Stegostoma tigrinum: one gene and its partner. The protein of the gene in region 2 interacts with the protein of the main gene of each other region in a biochemical or structural test. Links are inferred from orthologs where the notes say so. Each region holds a gene or a part of one and is shown on either strand. Other genes may lie near its edges.

Evidence for each region. The genes of interacting proteins can lie anywhere in the genome.
Region 1: the proteins of bdnf (region 2) and sortilin-like form a complex in vitro, tested with the Homo sapiens proteins (2 studies listed by BioGRID and IntAct, with this or other methods). The link is inferred for Stegostoma tigrinum from reciprocal best matches to the Homo sapiens genes BDNF and SORT1.

Annotation. Positions count from the first base shown.
Region 1 is NC_081374.1:17,176,746-17,180,496, forward strand, and holds the start of sortilin-like, read right to left. Parts: upstream 2,706-3,751; 5' UTR 2,539-2,705; coding exon 2,332-2,538; intron 1-2,331.
Region 2 is NC_081370.1:53,222,419-53,226,169, forward strand, and holds the start of bdnf (brain-derived neurotrophic factor), read right to left. Parts: upstream 2,237-3,751; 5' UTR 2,145-2,236; coding exon 2,124-2,144; intron 347-2,123; exon of another isoform or gene 201-346; intron 187-200; exon of another isoform or gene 90-186; intron 1-89. UniProt on the Homo sapiens protein: Important signaling molecule that activates signaling cascades downstream of NTRK2. During development, promotes the survival and differentiation of selected neuronal populations of the peripheral and central nervous systems.

The sequences.
Region 1 (3,751 bases), on a different chromosome or scaffold from region 2:
GGTCCCGTGAATTAATTAAACTGGAGTAACACGATGGCTCAGCGGTTAGCACTGTTGCCTCACAGCACCAGCAACCTGGGTTTTAGTCCAACCTCGGTGACTGCGTGGAGTCTGTACATTCTCCCGCTGCCTGGGTGGGTTTCCTCCCACTGTCCAAAGATGTGCAGGTTAGGCGAATTGGCTATGCTAAATTGTCTGCAGTGTCCAGGAATTGCAAAGTAGGTGGATTAATCATGGGAAAATATGATTTGACAAAATACTTCAATAGAATTTGTTCAGAGATGGAGCTAAACTGTATTAAATTATGTCACAAGCATTAATAAATCTTCTGCCAATTTATGATTTTATATTTCCTATACTTTAAAAAGGGAAATTAAAGGAATAGCCAAGCCACTTATTTAAACAAAGCAAAGCTGTTCTCAAAATTTAAAGCTGGTTCTGACTAAGTGTTTGATATCATGGCTTTGAAACTATTCCAGTTTCCACCTCCTACTTTCTTTGATTACTGTATGCCATCAGTGCCAACATCAAGGCACCAGCATCAACTAGAAGTAGATTAACAACTGGGTACAGACAGCACTTCAAGAGATGTATTAATATAAATTTCTTAAAATTAGAACAAAAATAATTACTACTTCTAAACACAAAGCTAAAAAGTAAATAAATGTGTCACCCACAGAAGCGATAAGCTAAAAACATTAAAATAGCAAGAAAAATTGCTCAGGTGAAAAGTGATGCAAAGGATTTCACGCAAGAAGCAAAGATAGTTCAAGAAGGCGAGTGTGTGAGTTCAGCTACACAAATTAGATAAACAGCAATTAGATTATAGACAGTGCAACACAGAATCAGACAGTACAGAAGAGGCCCTTCAGCCTGTCAAGAATGCACCAAAAAAAACCTCTAAATCTGTACTCAGATATAACAAAGTGTGGAGTTGGAGGACCACAGCAGGCCAGACTGCAGAGGAGCAGGACAGTTATGTTTCAGGTCGGTATCCTTCTTCAGAAATCTTCTTGAGGAAGAGTTCCAACCCAAAACATCGACTTTCCTGCTCCTCTGACGCTGTCTGGCCTGCTGTGTTCCTCCATCTCCACACTGGGTTTCTCTGACTCCAGCATCGGCAGTTCTCACTACCTCTAAAACTGTACTCATCCCACTTTCTAGCACTTTACTACTCGAGATGAGATTCCCAACTAGAAACGGGACATGAAATGCTATACTCCCACTTACCACAAATTTACAACTGTTTCACGAATGCAACAAAAATGCAGCATAACTCAGGAAGGGAAGTTATCATGCACATACAATAAGAACACAGTTGCAGTAGTTTCACTACATTTTCACTTTTCTTTAAAATGTTATCAACATTGATTAAAAGTTTGTGATTTTTTTTCAAACGATTATATGCAAAAAAGTGACTTTTCATATTTGCTTCATGTAGTTAACTAATTCTGAAAATTTGAGAGAGTTTGGATTCACAATCTAAATTTATCAACACACTCCTGAAGCCTCACTGTCACTTAAATTTCTGCTCTCATAAGTGCGGTTTTATTTTCAGCACCATAAACCCAATCATGAGAGTGTGGATGTTTAATTGTTATCATTTTATGAGAAAACTCCAATAAACATCTCTCCCGAACTTGACGCAACCAAATTGGACGGCAGGTTCCCAATAAACGATGGTTTGAGAAAATCCAAAACGCCTAAATCGGTAAACAGGCTCGATGTGAAAGCTCGGGGGAATACCAATTAAAATCTTGATCTGCCGTTTGAAAATTACATTCATTAGGGGTGATTTTTAAGGCTTGCTTTGGGCAAAGACGGCAGTGAACATGTTTACTAATTCTGATGCACTGAGCGCTATTTTTAAAGTTACACAGACGCTTCACGTTTCTTCCCTTCCTACAAGCAGCACCGCGCCTGTTCCCACATTCCAAGGAAGGCAACACGCCACTACCTCTTCCAAGGCAGTGAGGGATGGACAGTAAATGCTGGCTCACATACAACGACTGAATAAAAAAACACTTTTGGGGGTTTGGGGAAGAGGTGGAAAACAAGCGTTGGGCATATTCGTGAAAATTGTTAAAAAGACAAACTCTAACACAACCTTGTCAGGTAAGAGAAAGAAAGGGGATACTCTGATGAGCACATTCAACGGATTGAAATACATGGATTATGTCAGGTTTTTTTTGTTTTATTAGGAGGGCCACACGGAGGAAGGGTCACAGGACCCGAAGCGTTAATTCTGTTTTCTCCCTCCACGGATGCTGATAGACCTGCTGAGTTTCTCCAGCATTTTTGGGTTTTTTTTTTAAACACGCTGCGACTCACCTTGTGGGTGTGGGCTGTTAAATTCCTCTGGAATCCTTGCCACTCTTGGCAGTTGGTGGTGGTGGTGGAGATATTCCTCTTGTGCAGCCTCTGGCCGCTGCTACCGAGGAGCTGCTTCCCGAGCTCCACCGCCTCCGAGAGCCTGCCCTGGAAATCAAACACGGACAGGGACAGGAGCAACAGCAACAGCCCCGCCACTGCCCTCATGGTTTAACCTCTTTCGCTTCTTCTACGCCGGTCAACCTTCGGATTTAAGGCTACTATAGATGAACATACGTACGTGCAAAATATCAAAACGACATTACAAAACACCACAACAGTCCAACCCCCGCAGGTTTAAAGCACCAACAACAAACTGGCACCCGCCCCACCGGACGTCCCGCCCCTGGCAACGCCTCCCTCCAACCAGCATCGTGCCCCACCTCCACGCTGTCTATTGGCCTCCCGCCCTGTCAATCAGCACCTTAGGCCGGGAGAAGCCTGGTCCTTAAAAGCTCCCTACAGGTGCTCGGGTTGATGTTTGCTCCTTCCACACAGAAGCCTGGATGCACTGTCACAGATTCAATATTTACCTTTCACCCTCCGTCAAATGTGCTCGTTCCTTCGGAGATAGTAGGAACTGCAGATCCTGGAGAATCTGAGATAACCAGGTGTAGAGCTGGCTGAACACAGCAGTATCATAGGAGCAGGAAGGCTGACGTTTCGGGCCTAGACACTTCGTCAGATTTGGGGGGGAAGGGGGCTCTGAAATAAATAGAGAGGGGGAGGCGGAGAGAAGATGGGTGGAGAGGAGACAGACAGGTCAAAGAGGCAGGGTTGCAGCCAATAAAGGTGAGTGTAGGTGGGGAGTTAGGGAGGGGATGGGTCAGTCCAGGAAGGACAGACAGGTCAAGGTGGGGGGTGGGATGAGGCTGGTAGGTAGGAGATAGGGGTGGGGCTTGAGGTGGGAGGAGGGGATGGGTGAGAGGAAAAACTGGTTAGGGAGGCAGGGTTTGGGATGTGGTAGGATGAGGGTAGATTTTGAAGCTTGTGAAATCCACATTGATACCATTGGGCTGCAGGGTTCCCAAGTGGAATATGAGTTGTTGTCCCTGCAACCTTTGGATGGCAGCATTGTGGCACTGCAGGAGGCCCAGGATGGACATGTTGTCTGAGGAATGGGAGGGTGAGTTGAAATGGTTTGCAACTGGGAGGTGCAGTTGTTTACTGTGAACTGAATGTAGGTGTTCTGCAAAGCAGCCCCCAAGCCTCTGCTTGGTTTCCCCAATGTAGAGGAGGTCACAATGGGAACAGTGGATACAGTATACCACATTATAAGATGTGCAGCAGAACATCTGCTTGATGTGGAAAGTCTTCTTGGGACCTGGGATGGGGATGAGGGGGAAGGCATAGGGGCAAGTGTAGCACTTCCTGCAATTGC
Region 2 (3,751 bases):
ACAATAACAGCCTGAATCAAAATCCACCCTCACATGCAGCAAACACTCAGAGATGCTAAGATGGAGAGAGGCGATTCCTTCGCTCTCACTTTTTTTTCAGAACTGTTCCGCTTTCAATGCCACGGGAAGGAACCTGTTTAGTTGCGGTAGCGCAGCTGGTGCCCAAAGCTGGAAGAAACCCTGTTTTGACGGGGAGTTACTTTTTTTTTGTTGGTTTCCTTTACGATCTGGTGCCAGGGGACCTGGGTGTAACAGTAGACACAGCGGGCTGAAGTGGAGCGCTGATGACAGCAACACGCTTAGGTGGGGACCTGCTCAGAGCGAATCCAAACTGCGGGCATCACCGTCACAGGGACCGAGGGAGAGAACCACAGAGCCTGTGGCAAGGCTGCTCCTCACGTTGCCATGGCAACCGGCATCCAATGAAAGCCTCGTCTCTGCTGTCTCACTGGCAACCGGCGAAGGGAAAATACTTTTCCTCGTCCTGAATGAAAAAGAAAGGACCAGTTCCCCCTGTCTGGCTTAATGTGGGAGCGTTAGCACACGGGGTAGGAGCGGGAGCACGCTCACCGGGCCGAGCGGCCTGCTCCGCTTCCCGTTTCTTAAGGTCTAAGATGGAAATCACCTTTCCCTTGCTGTGAGAGATAATGGGAACTGCAGATGCTGGAGAATTCCAAGATAATAAAATGTGAGGCTGGATGAACACAGCAGGCCAAGCAGCATCCTCCTGAGATGCTGCTTGGCCTGCTGTGTTCATCCAGCCTCACATTTCCCTTGCTGTTTTGTTTTGTGTAGGACCGGGGTGTTCGGGTGGGGGGGTGGGGAATTAGCTGGTTAAATCTAGTACATTGGATGTTTGGGTTTCTATCGGGAAAAGGGTCTACACTCTCACCGCCTGTACCCTGATAGTAAGGGCGATATCACAAAATGCCCCCGATTTCCAATAGCCCATCCCCTCTCCACACCGTCAATCCCTGTGGAATGAGTCTAGCTCCTGAGGCAAACTTCACACGCTGCATTCTGGAATACAGTCAGCCCAGAAACCAGAAATGACAAAAGAAAGACAAGGAGAGTTGGTCTCTTAACTTCAGCAGCGCGCGGTCTGTATATACAGTTATGTCTAGTGACCAGTCGCACCCAACCCGCCCACCCCAGCGAACAATCAAAATCAACATTCACACTAAAGGTCACCTCTCTTGAGGCACAGCACATCAGGAAGGGGCCGGAGACCACTTCCTAAAGACAATCGGTTACTGTTTATTAAATTATCCTTCTGCCCCCGTCGGCTACGGTGATCTGCAGCTTCACATTATTGTAACGCTGGGTATAGTTGAGCAAATCCCTTCCACACCCAAACCAAGCTCCAGTCTGAAACATGTTTAGTGTGTATGTGTGTGTGTGTGTTTGTGTGAAATAATAAGTTACGTTCAACACCGAGGGTATCGAGCGGTCCCTAACATTCTGCAACTGCATTTAGCTTTGGCTGATACCGAGTTCTCTCCAATCGGGAGCCCTGCCTTAGACCCTTACCTGCATTGATCACTGTCAGGGCAACTGCAAGGATTTTTGTTTTGATGGGGGAGGGTGTTGTGGGGATTTGGGTTTTTGCTGAAAACAGCGCCGTCTGCTGCTGCGAGTCTCTTGTGTTGTGAAGTGTAGGTGTGCGGTAGTATGCAGCTTCTGCGGGGTAGTCCTTCCCAAATAGCCAGAGCACCAGACCTCCTGGAGTTAGAGTCCCTTTCTCTATCCCTGCCTGGAGCGCCCGCTCGCTAAACAGCCCTTGCTCACTGACACGCAACTTTGAACCTAACCTTCTCCTGCACCTACAGTTCTCTCTCGCAAGCCGGGCACAGGAAGAATATTGGAACAAAAACACTTCGCCTGGCTCAGAAAATGCGATGAACTCTCAGAATGAAGCAGGCTAAGTGTGTGTGTGTGCGTGTGCGTGTGTGTGTGTGTGTGGGACTTGACAAGAGAACCTTCCAATCTCTGCAACATCACTGATCTCCCTCAACCAAAGTAAGCTCAAAATGCAAGTGGCCCCTGTCCGGGATACACAGGGAAGATCCTTACTGCTAGCCAGATTGGGCGAGAAAACAACACGGCAGATGCTGTTCACTTACCCTGCTATGTGCAAACGGCATCACATTAAACCATCCTTATCAACCCTTCCATTTCACAAAGTTACAATACAGTGACCTTGCCTGTTCGCAGGATATTTTCCTCACACTCTGCTTGTACCGTAATAAACTTCGCCCAAGCTGTTAAAAAAAATTCCAACCATCAGCTCTGCGCCTCAGCTGGTCTCGTAGTAACGCTGTCAGCTTTGAAAGATTTTTTTTATAGATCTAACCCTCTCCTTCGTGGCAATCACCGTCTGGTGACGCGATATCTTTGGATAGAGTTGATTTTTCTTATCCCCGAGGCCGAGACAGCTCAGGCTGTCCCGGGTGCTGAGAGACACACCTGAGACTCGCGTCAGGACCCCAGAAGCAGCTAATGGTTCCCTTCCTCCGACCCGCTACCCTCCTCCCCAAATACTCCATAACACTTCTATTTTCAGCACTTGCGACTTCATATTTGTATCAGATGCGACTTACCCACGCCGTGTCACGTGAATATGGCTTTGCCAGTCAGTCTGCTCCCCCCCCCCCTCCACCGCGCCCGAACCCCAGTAAGATCTGATGATCAGCTCCTTGCGGGGTAAGTCACCATACTGTACTGAACTGCACCCCCAGAAACCCAACACCCGGCGTTACCATCCAGTTCTTGCTGCCCTCTTTATATTTTCAATTACCAAAAGATGACAAGACACACCTCCCGGCGGGACTTGAGCCCTCAAACCTTCTGGTCCAGAGGTAGAGACAGTGTCACTGCACCACTGTCGATATCTGCCTCTGATCGCCCACCAAATCTCCAATCAATTGTAGATTTCCAAAGGAATGAGTTTAACTTAACTGGGGGGGGGGGGGAGTGGAGGGCGTATGCGTGTGTGTGTGCGGGCGATATCCCCCAGTGGTGTGAGAAATGCTCTCTCACCTTCCAATGGTAACGTGGCGTTATTAAAAAAAATAAGGGCGATCGCAGTTACTGACCAAAACCGCCCCCTCCCCAACCCCTCCACCCCTCCCTGACAATCCGCTTACCATCGTTAGTAACCGCCCAGGAAAGCGAAGAGGATTAAAATCCCGTCTCTCCAGTAGATGCTGGAAGGTAATGCGCCTTGTTTGAAGTCATCATGTGAACTTCTGCTTGCTCAGTCAATCGCCCACTACTTGTGAGTTATGAATGTAATAACTCTTTGCAATATCCGCCGCTGAAATCCCCGACACCTTAGTGACTGCAAGGCACACGTACGCAGAGGTGATTTAAGCTTCTACATTTACGCAACACATTCGCTCAGGGAGACGTTTTGGGGCTTACGTGATTCTAATGAATTAAGGAAATAATTGCTTTTGGAAATAGCGGGCTATCAGATCCTATATGACTGGTCTTTTCAGAACACTCAGTTCAGACACAGTGAGGACAGTATGCTGGGTTAAGTTAACGCGTCTGATTTTGTTTTTTAAAAAAACAGAACTTTTTTGCCCCTGTCTCGAAAAGTAGTTTAACTTAACTTCTTGCACACGTGGTTATCTTAACTATCGAGAACTATCGAGTTCAGCACAGGATCGAAGGGATTTGCGTAGAACAGGTAAGGGAGCACTTTTGTCTTTCGAAACCTCTGTCTCACGCACAAAATTTCTGGGGA